Arabidopsis thaliana: one gene and its partners. The protein of the gene in region 2 interacts with the protein of the main gene of each other region in a pairwise test. Each region holds a gene or a part of one and is shown on either strand. Other genes may lie near its edges.

Region 1 (5,274 bases), on a different chromosome or scaffold from region 2:
TTAACACATTACTCTCTCTTATTCGTGGAATCTAATTATTCCCTTTCAAAAATTAGAATAGCTAAAAAAAGGAAGAAACAAAAGCTCCTTTTCTCCATAATTAAATCACCTTTCTCCTTCTCTGAATCAATGAAGACAATACTTACATTATAGATCCCTACATTCTTCTCTAACGAATAACTTAACATCTATCTTTCATACATAACATCTATTCTTCTCTGAATCAATGTTTATACTCTTTGGAGGGAACGGAACACTCGTCTGCACACTTCTTCTTCGAGACCTGCTGCTGGACTGATTATGGAGATAAAGAATCTTATTCGCACTCATCTTGATCCTCTCTCACGAGCTCAACGTATTGGCCCCAATGGTTTATCGTACCTCGCCACTTGGTTCGGTCTCTTTATTTGATCATATGCTTTGTTTTACTTTTCTTTGTTGTTTTGTAGGTGTTACTCGTTTTGGAGGCGGTGTGTATTCGATTTCGTTTTATAAATGAAGGTAATGTTAAAAAAAAAAAAAAAAAAAAAAAAAAAAAACATCTATCTTTCATACATAACTATTATAACCCCCCAAAAAAACCTATAGATATATGTTTGGAATTAATTTGGTCGTGTGAAAAAATACATGTCAAATCTCAATAGCTCTTATATATCTATGCATGGTTCTTCAATTACACATTATTTTTTAGTTCTATGAATAAGAAGTATAAATGGACAACACGTTTCACTTGTCCATTAACTTATCTCCTCTTCGTTTAAAAATGCGGTGATTCTTATCAGCAATCAACGTATATATTATAAGTTAAAAAAGATACGTACGTTACCCGACATCTAATATACGATTTTCCGTCTATATATCTATCTAAAAGTCCCACCAAATGTAGGAGTCCAGAAATCTACTGTAGTATCGTGTGTCACTGGAAATGTGCTTGAAACTGGCACTAAGCATAAACCTCGACTTCTAAGATCTGGTTCTTCTGATACTTCTAGCTCTGTGGAATGATCACTCTGCATCATCATTAGAAAACAAAGAAAAAATATAAGTTGCAAATGATTTCTTTTTTCGTTGCAAAAACCGTCTCGCTACATTGTTTCTTGGAATAATGCTTTATTGTCCAATCTTAAAGATGAAGCAACCATATTAAATACATGTAATAAAGAATGCGAACGAGAGCCATACGTTTATTCAATGGTATAATAATAATAACAGTATGATAATGGTTTAATAATGTATACATAAAATTATATAATTAAAATATTACCTGTTGATGTTGTAAAGAAGCTCCACTTTTCATGTATGGGTTGCTCAGAGCCTGAGTTATAATCATTTGCAGGTTTGTTGTACATCAGTAGAAGAAATACAATAACTAACTAAACTGTAGCAGAAAATGTTTGTGTACTAAAAATACGAAGGAGTGGGCTAACTTACAGAAACTTGTTGGTGTAAGAACTTAATGTATTCAATGGCTTCAGAGAGCACTGAGGCTGCATCAGTCTGACACAAAAGCACATGAGATTCAGTAAAACAAAATCTAAGAAATGGTATATCATTCATTCATCTCCAACATAAATATCTATTGAAATAGACCTTACATATAAAATAAATCCATAAAGATATAATAACAATAACATGATAAGTAATAATGACAGTATACAAATATACTAATACACACTCATCATCTTTCTGAAAGGTAAAGCAAAAATTTGCAGACAATGAGAGAGAGAGAGATAGTACCTTTCCGAAAGGTGAAACCAATTGTTGGAGCGCAGCGATTCTGTCCCCCATTTTCTCTTTCCTCTAATTCAGCAAAATTTTATCAAAACAAATCCTTGTTATAAAAAAAATACTATGAAGTAAAAAAACTAAAGAGATCTAGTATAAGCAATTATGCAAGAATTGTGGGAAGAATGTTTGTTTTCTTGATATAAAATAAAACAACTTCGCAATAAAAGAATGTTTCATAATATCCTATCATGCATATACTTTGGTGGTAAATGATAAACCTAATTTTATTGTTCAAATTAGGGTTTCGGTTTTGTTTAATAGAAAGATTCGGATTGTTTTGGCAAAACCATGGAAAGCTGGTTTTATTTCAATGTCGTTAAAGATGCTTTTATTTTCATACCAAAAAGAAGCTTTATTGTTTATTTTCCCCTTATTTAAAAAATAATATCAACAAAGCAAAATACCTTGAAAGCTGGTGACGGAGACGCTGCTTCGCTCTTAGCTCTTTTCGCCGCCGGCTGATGATCGTTTCCTCCTCTCTTTACTTCGTTGCTACTTGAATCTCTAATCTCCGATATATTCTACGACCAACCAATACATATAAATTATATAGATCATATCCATAAATCTAAATAAAGTAGTTCGTGTAGCTATAAATATATACCTTTGGTTGTTCGTCAAAACTCTGCGGATGAATCTGCGGCGGTTGTAACGCCGGGAAAAAGTTAGAAGACGCGTCATGAGGAGGAGGAGCACCGGCGTTTCCCGCAGCCGCGGGGTTCCAAAACGTTGCGTTATTAGAGAATCTCAAAGGACTGTGTGGTTTTGGCGGCGGAGAAGATCTTAAAAACCAAGTCGATGGTAACGCTGACGCCATTTGATCATAGTTTCCGGTGGATGATCCAAACTGAGAATAGCCAAGAGATGACTGTTGATGATTCCTCGACGGTTGTTGATCAGAAGAGCCAAAACCACCTGCTTGCTGATGATGAAACATACCGGAAGATGAATTAGGAGTTGTTGTTGTTGCTGCGTACATGGCGTTTGACGAGTTGTCAACAGCGAAACCTTGACATGTTACTGTGCTACTGTCGGTACTTGAGCTACCATGAGGACTGAACTGATGATCTAAGAAAAACCCGCGATTACCACCACTCGTTAAAATCTGCGGTTTGAAATCGCTTTGTGGATCTCGCCACAAAGCTTGATGATGGTGAGAGGAATCAGATTCTTGCAGCTGGTAAGAAGATGTGGATGACGTTGTGTTAGCGTTTGCGTTTGAAGTGGCATCTAAATTGAGATTCTCTTGAAGCATCACACCAAAGCTTGTCTCCGCTTTACTATCTCCTCGTCTTTTGTTCCCCGCAAAGAAAAAGAAAACAAAGACAAAACACATAAATCTTATGACTGAAACCAAATAAAAAAAAAGAAACAAAATTGAGACTTACAAGAGAGATTGGTTCCATTGATCAACAGGTGATTGTGAAGAAAGTCCTAAACCAATCATCTGAAGATGGTGATCAGTAGCTAAAGAATGATGATGAAGCTTATCATGGAAAACAGCAGAACCACCAGATTCAATAGAGCTTGCTCTCATGGAAGAAGAAGAAGATGGTGAAGAAGAAGAAGATACTTTCCACCAGCTTCCTGAGTTGATGAAATCATGATGATCTCCCATAGCTTCTTTTTTTCTCACTATATATATATATATATATATATGTGTGTGTGTATTGATGTTGGATCTTAATTTGTTGTGTCTTCTCAGATTGTGGTTACATGAAATGATGAGGATCCACACGAGAGAGATACTTATAGTTATAAATATTTATCAATTTAAATTGGATATTTTTTCCTGGTAGGGTTTTCGTGAACTATTTATGAAGAGTGAAGACATCCGATTAATGTTTGGTTGACATTTTTTCAGGTGGCTCTCGCTGACTCTCTTGCCCACGTCATTCCCAACTTCTGTTTTTGTTTTACTAAAGATATTGTTGATTTTTCCATTGGTTACAACTAAAAAGAATAAGTATTTCATTTCTCCTACTTTCCTTTATATTTTGGTAAAGTTTCCTTTTATTCATTTTGCAAGCATATATTATATCACTCTTTATAATTTAATTTATTTTTTGGTCACCCTACTCGCAATGATACAATAACAACATTTTGTAAAATATATTTTGTATTAACATCCTTCAATTTAGTGAATGTAAATGTAACAACCTTTTAATTCATTAACTAGTAATGATTGATACTTGATAGGAAAACAAAATAAATCTAGATTTAAGTATTTCACATTGAGAAGTAAAACACTAGCTAATGAGGAAATACAAATTGACTTTGTAGATAGATTTTTGGGATAAAAAAGGAGGTTGAAATGGATTTGACTTATTTTAAGCAAGAGAGACCAAGGATGGACTAGAAGGAGCGGGTCACAGTCACGGTCACAGTCATAGTCACAAACCACTGAGATATTTTTAAAATAATTCTATTCATTTTAATATTTTGGCCTTTGAGTTTGGCTATGAAACTTCAGCGTTTATTTTTTTCCAGTCACAGCAAGTCAACGAGTGGGCTCCACGTGGCGTGCGCGCGTGCTTTCACACTTGGACCCCACTTGTTTCGTCTCAGAGTCAGAGCCTGAATATGACTCTTCTCTTTTCTTTTCTTTTTAAAAAATCTTTTTGTTTTTCTTTTCGGCATCTTTTATTCTTAATGTTAATTACGGTAATTTTCTCTCTTAACTTTTTAGAAGATTAATTGTATATAATTTGTGTTTTATTCACTGGTCGTCTCCCTAATCATTTTCTTTTGCCTAACGTTTGTCTCTTCTCATTTTCCAATTCTCAACGAGCTCGACCAAAAAAAAAGAAGTCATATATATTGATATTGAATTTTGCTGTTAATATTCGCATTAGTGTTTGTAATTTCTATATAGTCAAACAATATATCACATACGTACTTTCTTCTCTTACAACCGCAAATTTTTTTTTTTTACAGTTTGCATGATCCTGTTTCTGTCTAAAACATTACATTCTTAATACATTGGAATCATTTTTTTTTTTTTTTTGTAATGTTAAATTCATTGAAGATACATTGGAATCATTTTGGAGTTACTGAATCCATCTTACCCGATTTATAAATAAAACCATTCGAATAATTGTTTACAAACCAAAATAATCGAAAATGTGGGTTTGGTGGTGTAATTTACCTTTTAGAATGGGGTGTTGAATATAATTTACAAAATACTTTTTTTGGAGTTGAATATAAGTTTACATTGATTCAAGAAAAATGAATGGGGGTGTTGATTGTTCATTTCTCTAAAATAACATTACAAGCGAAGTACTAACGATTACTTACTTATTAAAAGTTGATTGCCATTGGAGACACAATAGTTCCACGGCAACATTCCATTGAGTTGGTGATCTTATAATTTGAAGAAGAAGAAGAAGAATACCACCATTTTTTAACGTGCAACATTTACAAGAAAATGAAAGATTCCATTGCAAATTCACCCATGTAACTTGAGCTCGTGAGTAGTGACTATTT
Region 2 (5,069 bases):
CCGTTTTCCCTTTGTGAATTACAGGTAAACCCCCAGATGTTGCTAAATGGCGGGTAAAAGCTCTGGCTCTACTCTACTTAATATTCAGTTACATGGTTTCAATGGTTTGTTCAAGGTAGCTAGCTGCTTCTTTTTTTCAAATTTGGATGGCAGGTGGATTATAATGACCGACCCAACGCAGAGCTGATAATAAAGTCAAAGACAAACGCTGATCTACTGATCAGATCTATGAACATTTGAATCTACTTTCAAGGGGGCTATTGGACGAAACAGAATAAGATGAATAACAAAAGACAATGTTGCGCTTCAAGGGAAGATTGCCTTTGGTCTACAATGTCTTTTTCTTGCAACGGAAACTTCCAATAAGCAATTTGTTCGCAGTAAACTGTGTATGCTAGTGTTCTCTGCATACTCACGGATTTTGTTCAGACAATGTGTTTTATACTTCTAAATTAGAAGTTCTAATGCATAAAGTGTTTGAATGCGCGGGAAATTACCTAATTATAATCAGTCCAGCTCCCAACTATATCATTTTGAATAGTTAAATGGTCTATCCAAATTAGTGCAAGAAAAAAAAGAGAGGCAAAACCATAATATAATACCAACATTTGTTTTTTCTTCCTTTTTTACATAATTCAGAAACACGATCCCACACCTTCATTACTATTACTACAGCTAGCACTACCCTCAAAGCCCTTGGTCCTGAAAATCACACTAAAGTCTTTGAACAAAAAAGAGTTACTTTCATCAAAATGATAAATACTAGCCAAGCAAGCGAGAGCTTTTTCCTTCTTTTGACAGATCCCGTTTTACTTCTTTACTGCACAAATCCTACTTAGATTCCATCTCCAATGCCTTTTTACTTACCTTTCATGAGTCACAAAAGTCTAGTAGTGGGAAACAGAGCAAAATGTCAATCATCAGCTGGGGACCGTTGGATGAACAAAAATCTACGGTGGAGGATTCATCTCTGGTTTGACGATTGAAGAAGATGTGTCTGGTGGCTGAGAATGGTAAATCGCCATTGCCAATGAGATCGGCATTATGCAAAGAGCCTTTGATTGCAAAAGTTGCATCGCTGCTCCAACGTTTTCTTCCATCAGCTTAGCCACTTGCCTCTCTGTCCCATCGTTTGACCATTTCTCCCACACGGCCTGCGTCTCATCCTGAAGAAAGTTTTTACACCACAAGTCAGTGCAAGAAAAACCATTACCAAAGTTCTGTTCTTTTTTTAATGAAGTATCTCTCTCTAGTCTAACCTCAACTGATGAAGATAATGGCATTTCAGTGACTAGTGGTGCGACAGCACCGGCTCCACCAAGACGGCTCATGCTCAGGACCTGCCATAGTTGACCAGAGATAAAGCTTATGAAGGAAAAATATTATCAAAGCCCATCATTGCATAAAATATTCTTCAATGTTCTCATTAGCTTTATTACAATAGTCCTCAATTGTGATGATTCTCCATGGGAGGGAAGCAAGCAAAAAGTGAAAGACACTAATGCCAAAAAACACACAATCATGTACTCTTTGATTACTCTTTATTGCCAGATTAAACAATTATAATCTTTTATTAAGATTGGAAGTTTGGTTTAAGAGAGTAGGTGGTGGTGGGGACCAAGGATTTACACCACTAAATCCTTCTGGCTGTTTTAAATAATCTTTCTACAAACTTTTAATGATAGCATTTTCAAAAACCAGAGAATAGAAAACTGAAAATGACTTGGGTGTTTACCTTAACTTGGAGCCTGAGAAACTTTACATAATCGACAATCTCGTCGATCATAGCAGCCCTATCTGTCTGCAAAAGGAAAGCAAAAGAAACAGATGTGAATACCGCAGTTTCTATATGCCAATCACAAAACTTTTCTCTCATTGACAACTCTAGTTTTCTCCCTACTTTTAAAATCTCTTTCAAGCTCTCTTCGCGACATGAAAACAGTAGCTGAAGCTCTAGAGAAAAAGATACCAACCTTGTTAACGGTAGGTACAAGTTCCTGCAACGACCTGATCCGTTCTGCTATTCTTTCCCTTCGGAGCTGTTGCAAAGCAAATACATTCAGGTTAGGTCTTACCGTTCTTAGTAAGTAAGAACTAATCGAACTTTCTCAACCAAAAGCTATAATTAAAGCTTTGATCAAACATTATCACATAAAAATCGAAAAAAGAGACCAGAAGATAAAAAAAGTGTATCAAACATCTTACCCTCTCAGCGATGCTATGTGGATCGGTAGCTTGACCTCGCCTAGCCCTAACTCTAGGCCGAATAGTAGACTGTTGATGCGGCATTGGTGGAGCTGGCTGTGACATTGGCTGCCCATGGAAAATCTTCAACAAAACACAAAACAATGCCGTAATAACATTAAGAAAAGCTTAAAAACCGCTTCTCACAAGAACGGTCGCCACTAGAGTAGTTATAGCAACAATTCAAACTATGACGGAATTATCCACATGAGAAAAGAAACTAAAGAGCAAATTTTCTTACAATATAATTTGGACATAAAAGAACACTCTTTTATACTAAAGTTTCTTGCAAAACTAATTTTAGTGTTATGACTTTAAAACACATCAAAATCTTCAACTTGGGTTTCTTCAAAAACATCAAATCTCACCAATCTGAGCCAAAAACTCTCGGTAACTATCAAATTTAGACCTAAGCTGGGTTTTCTCAAAAACGACACCATTTTGAAACCCTAAAGATTTGAATTTCACTTTATTTTCTCGAGAACACAAAAGAAAAAGACAAAGTGAAGATTCTGAAGAGAAACTTACAGGTTTCATAGAGGAACATCGATTATCAAGAACATCGTCTTGGAAACGTTTACCAGTTTCATCAGGTTTAAGAAAGCCATGTCCTTTCCCTTGATCGAGACTTAATCCCAACGGAAACATCTGATTATGAAACCCTACAGGTCCACCTCCTCCAATGGCACCCATATGATTATGATTCCCTTCGTTGCCTGAACCAAGCTGAAGCATCATCGGAGGTGGACCCACGCCGCCGATTCCAGAGAGACCAGAACCTGAAGAACCGGAGAAGTTGGAAAGCCCGAGGATCTGCTCGAAGAAATCGTCGGTAGGAGATGGATCGGAGATGCTATCATGTGGGATGTTGTTGTTATTAGCCATGAAGGAAACGAGTAAAGGTTTGAAATTTTCGACTCAGTGGAGCTGGGTGAGTTAAAAGATAGCGAGTTAGAGAAGAGAAGTCGAAGAACAACTTTCCATGCGAAGAATCTTGTGTGGAGTTGTTAGGTGAGAGAATGATGATGCTTAAGCTAATGAGGACGAAGAGACACAGACGAGAAAGGATATGACAAAAAGACTCACTTTATGCTCTCTTTCATTTTATTTTTGTTAAAAGGACCTTACTTTGTGGTTTATTTTCGGTTTTGCCCTTGTTCTTATATACCTTCCAGAAACTTGAAGTGGGCTTTATTTGTTTTGAAGTGGGCTTTTTGTTTTGACTTTCTTCAATTTATTCATATCAAATTAAGAAAAAGGTCTTTTACCAAACTCTTTTTAGTAGAATGTTAAAAACCAATATAACTTTCTTTTTTTAAAATATATAAATGATATGGGAAAAATTCTACGCATTGTCGGGGTCGTCGTCATCTCGTTAGTGGTAGAAAATAAGATTTTTTTAAAAAAATCTGTCTTTGTCGTTTTTTCCGAAATTTAGCACTCATGGAGTAAAGTTTCTAATATCCAATATAAAAATGACACGTTTCATTTTGCCATATGGTATTACAACTTGCTTCTCCTTAGTGCTGAACCGTTGTCCGACTCGTTTTCCATTTTGAGAGACAAGGGTTTTTCTATTTTTCACAAAACAAAATTGTGGCATTTCTGAATATAATACGAGTAAAAAATATGTCAGCAGAAATGGGCTTGGATCGATTTTGATTTGTTGGATTCCATAATTCAATCTTGGGCTTCCAATCCATAAGAAAAAAGCTTGGTGTATTTTTTTTTACAAATTAGAAGAAAGTTTTTTCCTCTTTAATCAGTACTCTTCTCCTTACCCATTAATGGCAAATGCAAACTAAATTTCAGTTGACCCGTCAAACAATAAGTTAATTTTTTGCCACGTGGCCATATTTCTCACCGGACAAAGCCTCCAATAACCTCGGCGACTTTAGATGGTGAATAATCGACGAACAACAAAGAAACTACATTGACGAAACAAACAAACAAAAACATAGAAGAAGAAGAAGAAGAAACAAAACAAAACTAAACAAGAAACAGAGGAGAAAAAAGGAAACGACGAGGAAAAACAAAAACAAAATAAAAACAAGCCTCGTTCTTCCCTTTTCTCTCTTCAAATCTTTTCTTTTACATATTTTCTTTTCTTTTTTTTGTCTTTAATACAAATTTACTAACTAATCAGAATAAAAATGGGTTCGAGTAAGTTTAAACGAGCCATAGGAGCCGTAAAGGACCAAACCAGCGTCGGTCTAGCCAAAGTCAATGGTCGAAGCGCTTCTTTATCTGAACTTGACGTAGCCATCGTCAAAGCCACTCGTCACGAAGAGTTTCCAGCAGAAGAGAAATACATTAGAGAGATTCTTAGCCTAACTTCTTACTCACGCAGTTACATCAACGCTTGCGTTAGCACGCTTTCGAGACGCCTTAATAAAACCAAATGCTGGACCGTTGCCCTCAAAACCTTGATTTTGATCCAAAGGCTCTTAGGAGAAGGAGATCAAGCCTACGAGCAAGAGATCTTCTTCGCCACTCGCCGTGGAACAAGGCTTCTCAATATGTCTGATTTTAGGGATGTTTCGAGGTCTAATTCTTGGGACTACTCTGCGTTTGTCAGGACTTACGCATTGTACCTTGACGAAAGGCTTGATTTCAGGTAAGAGTTCTTGTGCTTGATCCAGGTTCCGATTCGGGATTTCAAGTTATTTATGTAATTTGAATGATATCTAAGATATGCGGTTTTTTTTTTTTTTTCATTGCAATTTTTGAGGATGCAAGCGAGACACGGGAAACGTGGAGTTTACTGCGTTGGAGGAGAAGCTGACGAAGAAGAACAGGATCAAGCTGCGGCAGATCTCTCCACG
Region 3 (4,747 bases), 1.0 Mb from region 2:
TTCATTCCTCCAAGGTTGTAGCTGACCTCTTTGTTTCTTGATTTGCTTGTTTTGCAGAATCGACAACTGGAAACGCGAACATCTACTGCAGTATATGCGAGAGAAGGTCAAGCCTACTGCAGCAAGTTAGTTTTATCCCATGTAGAGCTGAAGAGGATGATCCTCCCTGTCACATTTACATATGCCAAAGCATTGCAATCTAGTAGTTAAAAACACATTATGACCGACTTATCTTATCTTTGTCCAAGCTATTTGGTCCCTTGGTATCAACAGTCTGTATGTTCTGAACCTTTGCAATTCTCAGTGGTAATGTATTTAATCCAATGTTCTTATGAAAGGATAATCTTAATTCTGTGGTCAGCAGTTTGGCACTATTACAAGCACTGAAAGAAAGCTATATGTATTAGGGAAATCCACGATCATACCTTCAGCACTGAAAGAAAGCTTGCCTTGGGTCTTTAGATCTAGAATAATGTATTGGATGCTGTAGGTAAGAATCACACAAAGAAAAGCTTAAGATATCTGAGGCATTTTTTGGGATAAAGATTACTTTGCATTAAAATCATTTGGTTCCTGTTTGGGCATATTACACAAGTCCAAAGTAAGGGGATGCATTAAGCAGTCGAATAATAATAACAATCATTGCCAACCATGAGCTGTTCTAAACCAACATCATGTGCTCTCTGTCTATATATGTTACAGAGGCATCATCAGAAAAATAACAATTGGTCATTCTTTTTTAGGCTTAACACAAAGATCGTAGTAGGTGATTAGTCGAATTGGTCATCTAAAGGGTGATTGAGATGTGACACTGAAAGCTGGTGATAGAGGAGTCTTCACGGGCGCCCATATATCAGCGCCGTTGCTTTGAGCAACTCCAACTGTATTCTCCATTGGAACAAGACATAATCCTCTGTTTCTCAGGCTGTACTGCTCCAGCTCCTCCTGGTTACAAAAGACGGGAAAATCAGTCCGTGCAAGGTATTCAAGTTCCAAGTGAAGATCTGTCAGATGCAGAGTAGAACTAGTGAACTAAGTATAAATGAAGTTGAGATTCAAGATCATACTCACCTGCGTAGCATCAGGTACCGTTTGCAGATACGGAGCACTTAGCACCTGTACAAAAGAACATGGGAACTCAGATAAAGATGAATGAATCATGCTTGGTATTGAACTGCAGACCTTCACTTGTTCGTGAAGAAACTCTATGTAATGCATCGCGTCTAGAAGAACTGATGCAGTGTCGGTCTGTGAACATTAGAGAAAAGTATGAGCTGAGAGACAGATTCTTTTGATTTGCTTGCCAAAAAAAACAAAGTTACCTTTCCATAAGGGGAAACTATTTGTTGAAGAGCTGAAATACGTTCTCCAACCTTGTCCTTCCTCTCCTGTTTGCCATTAAGAGAACAAAGATGGACGGATCATTACCATGCAATTTGTTGTACCGAAGACTATTTCGACCGAGAAATCCATGAAAACTAGCTAGGATAAGCAAAACCTTGGAACTGAAAGAGAGATCAGACTTGTGGCGTTTGATACTGCTTTCTCCGAGAGAGCAGACATTCCGCTTATTCTCCATCATCATTCCAGCGTCTCTAGAGAATTCCATACCTTTTGTCAATAAGAAATGCGCTAAAGAGTCATCAACACAACATGACCCAAAATTTATACTAACAAGACATGTTACATAGGGTACAAGGTTACCATCCTAGAGCAAATTACAGACCAGAAAGATTACAAGATCTATGAAATGATGATCTTGTTTTGGACCAACCAATGCATTGGGAGACAGGATTTGGAAGAGAAATTTAGAATATTAAGCCAAGACAAAGGTATGGTCAACGAAGTAGGCTAGGATTTGTGGTCAGAGGCTAGGCCTCAAGTTCACATCAGCTTAAGCATTATTTTAAGATTTCTAAGCACAATTATAAGCTCAAACAAAAAGATTAAATATGTTATCATACCTTGCTTAGATTATTTGCATAAACTCATAAACAGAGAATAACATCATATATGCATGAATCAATAGAGTCCCTAAAAACAGGAGAAAACCCCCCCAAAAAACAAAACACATATAGAGAATCCTCCACGGATCAGAGGAGAACAAAAAGTCACTCTCAGTGAATTATTGAAGTTAATGTAAACAAGAACTCAACTTCTTGCATTACAATAACAAAACTATGAGTAGAATCTGGTAACGATATCTATCAAAGTTGGTAACTTTTTCAGTCACGGGGATTGTCGTATAAACGAAATCAAAACCTAATCCAACTGAAGGTTAGCAACAAGAAGAGGAGAGATAAGTAATTATGCTTGAAATTAGCTTTTAGCAGACTAAATTTGGTGTAATTAAGCCAAAAATGGAGTAAAGAAACAGAGCAAATAAAGAAAGAACGAATAAAGAGAGAGAGAAAGAGCTTACGGAGAGAGAGATAGGTAGAGTCACAAATTGGAAGAAGAGTCTAAGAAAAAGCTTTATTGTTCAAGAAGCCACCACCCACAACTTCTGAAAGTTCCAAATTTTGCTTCGTTTGAACCCTAAAAATAATTGCTTTTTTTTTTGTCCTTGAGCTTCTTTCTGACAACACAAAACCCGATAAGATACAGAAATGTCTCTCTCTCTCTTTTGAGTTTTCTGAGTCCAAAAGGCAAAACTCCAAACCAGTATTTAGTATGTATAAACGTCAGTCTTTTTCCTTTGTTTTGCGCTTAAAACGACGTCCAAGATCGTGCTGTGTGACACGATGAAGAGCTCAAGCAGAGTGAAAATAAGCGTCGTTTCTTATAAGGTCGTAAGATTAGAGCAGTCGCAGAAATCTCGGCGTGAGAAAAGGAAAGAGACAGAGAGAGAGAGAGAAGAAACTGTGTCTGTTTTTGTTTATGCTCCAAACAAATAGAAGGGGACTTATTTTTATGTCTGTCTTTTTCGTCTAGACTCTTTTTGGGTGAAGTAATGTCATTTACTTCTCATTTAATTATTTTCAAATTTATTTATTGATTTGTATAAATCTAGAGTTTTCAATTTTATCGACTATCAATATTTTTTGATAATTTTTTCCTTACGAGTGTAAAGGTTATAACAAGCTACAAATTTATTCAAATGGTCAAAATCAGAGCCACTCATGCCTGAAAATTGTAATTTTGCACACAAATTCTTGACCTCACATTATGTTCAGAAAATCTCCAGATGTTTTATTTATGTGCTCCAAAGACTTCTATGATACATTTTTTTTTGACAACCAATTAGATGTAGATTAATAGATACATAAGTATTTCTTAGTTTAGATAGAAAAAAATGGAACCTTAAGTGACGTAGTTAGGACATTTTGGAAGCATGCATGTTCTGCATATATTGCCCCCACACCATCTACTACAACTCCTGCAAACTTTAATAATAAAGATGAAACAGATGACTAAAGAGTAAAGACTAATCCCTAATTAGGCTTTAGTGTTCAGAATCAGTCTTTTGTCTTGTGACTAAATACATCATAATTTGACAGCTATTATACAACCCATTGAGAGAGTGAGAGGTCTTCGTAGTTAATATCAGTCCCAGGTAGAAGTTGCTTTTATTATTATTATTATAGATAGATAGAGAGAACTATTTTTTCATTTATTGATGATAGTGACATTGTAAGGTTATTTTATTTTGTCAACATATTTGACCAGCTCTCTGCACCATCAGTCTTTTTGTTTCTACTTTCCACTTTTTGCTTTTTTCGTCTTTGAATTTTTGTTCTCTTCTCTTTAAAATCAACCAAAATTTCAACTAGAGAGGTTAAAAACATGGGCTGTATATAAAATCCATCAATCTAATCAAATCAGTGATTGAAAGTGATGTATTATTTTCATAAATTAACACCTACAATAATGAGATTCTCTAGCGTCTACCATTAATAATGAGATTTTAATTAGATTGAACGAGTTCATTTCATTAGTATATCCGTTGTTTAACTACAAGAGAATAAATGAAGTGTTATGAAAATGATAATTTACTACTGTAAATTTTTATGTTTCAAGTAAGACAAATTTAATTTTTCTGACGTCAATGCAACTTCATAGAGAGACTCAGGCGTTGAGGAGACGCGCACGCGTGGTTTCGGACACCAAACTCGCTCTAAAAGTCACTCACGTGGAGCGGTTAGAAGAGTCACGTTTCGAAACGCAGACGCAGAGGTAGAGATTGCGTGTGTAAAAAATAGAGATTTGTGGGGACAGCGGCACAGACCGTGCGACGCAAAAGTCCGAAAGGAATCAGCGTTTTATTTAAAAGGTACGTTTGGGGTCCTACGCGGCTTCGGTCTTTGTCTTGTTGTCACCATCTTCTTGTCCTCTTTTTTCCTTGTGGCTACCGGATTAGGTACTTTTTCTTTGTTTTTTCCTATTTATTATGGATTCTTTTCTATTCCATTACATTATTACTTTGGGCTTTTAGATATAGCATTAGCAACACAAACTTTAAAAAGCCTTTCAAAAATTTAAATATATAAACACTCCCAAGTTTTCAACATCTTTCTGTTTCCAACCCCTTGACTTATTCTACACCCTTTGCGTTGTGACATCAATAGTTCTTGTTACTCTCTTCTCTTTGAAGACACTCATTCAATCCTCTAACAATATGTGGCATGTTTGGCCTATCAGAGACGTTCTGCGAAACAGAGGATAATGCAAGCTCCACAACTTTCCATACAGAGTTTACATCAAAATCTTTCGCCATCTTTGAATCTATAACATTGTTCACATCATT

The links.
Region 1: the proteins of AT1G03040 (region 2) and AT3G20640 interact in binary tests that used the Arabidopsis thaliana proteins (3 or more experiments, as listed by UniProt).
Region 3: the proteins of AT1G03040 (region 2) and AT1G05710 interact in binary tests that used the Arabidopsis thaliana proteins (3 or more experiments, as listed by UniProt).

The regions. Positions count from the first base shown.
Region 1 is NC_003074.8:7,209,794-7,215,067, forward strand, and holds AT3G20640 (basic helix-loop-helix (bHLH) DNA-binding superfamily protein), read right to left. Parts: upstream 3,682-5,274; 5' UTR 3,407-3,681; coding exon 3,177-3,406; exon of another isoform or gene 3,125-3,176; coding exon of another isoform or gene 3,081-3,124; coding exon 2,393-3,080; intron 2,310-2,392; coding exon 2,193-2,309; intron 1,801-2,192; coding exon 1,738-1,800; intron 1,498-1,737; coding exon 1,432-1,497; coding exon of another isoform or gene 1,423-1,431; exon of another isoform or gene 1,316-1,422; coding exon 1,265-1,315; coding exon of another isoform or gene 1,253-1,264; exon of another isoform or gene 1,011-1,252; coding exon 861-1,010; 3' UTR 517-860; downstream 1-516.
Region 2 is NC_003070.9:703,329-708,397, forward strand, and holds AT1G03040 (basic helix-loop-helix (bHLH) DNA-binding superfamily protein), read right to left. Parts: upstream 3,337-5,069; 5' UTR 3,130-3,336; coding exon 2,773-3,129; intron 2,329-2,772; coding exon 2,206-2,328; intron 2,040-2,205; coding exon 1,974-2,039; intron 1,802-1,973; coding exon 1,736-1,801; intron 1,341-1,735; coding exon 951-1,340; 3' UTR 521-950; downstream 1-520. Other genes in the region: AT1G03030 (P-loop containing nucleoside triphosphate hydrolases superfamily protein), read left to right, coding at 25-53, 154-240; AT1G03050 (ENTH/ANTH/VHS superfamily protein), read left to right, coding at 4,398-4,861, 4,976-5,069.
Region 3 is NC_003070.9:1,713,060-1,717,806, reverse strand, and holds AT1G05710 (basic helix-loop-helix (bHLH) DNA-binding superfamily protein), read right to left. Parts: upstream 2,990-4,747; 5' UTR 2,423-2,989; exon of another isoform or gene 1,612-2,422; 5' UTR 1,610-1,611; coding exon 1,499-1,609; intron 1,389-1,498; coding exon 1,323-1,388; intron 1,249-1,322; coding exon 1,072-1,248; intron 946-1,071; coding exon 784-945; 3' UTR 517-783; downstream 1-516. Other genes in the region: AT1G05720 (selenoprotein family protein), read left to right, coding at 58-130; AT1G05700 (Leucine-rich repeat transmembrane protein kinase protein), read right to left, coding at 4,562-4,747.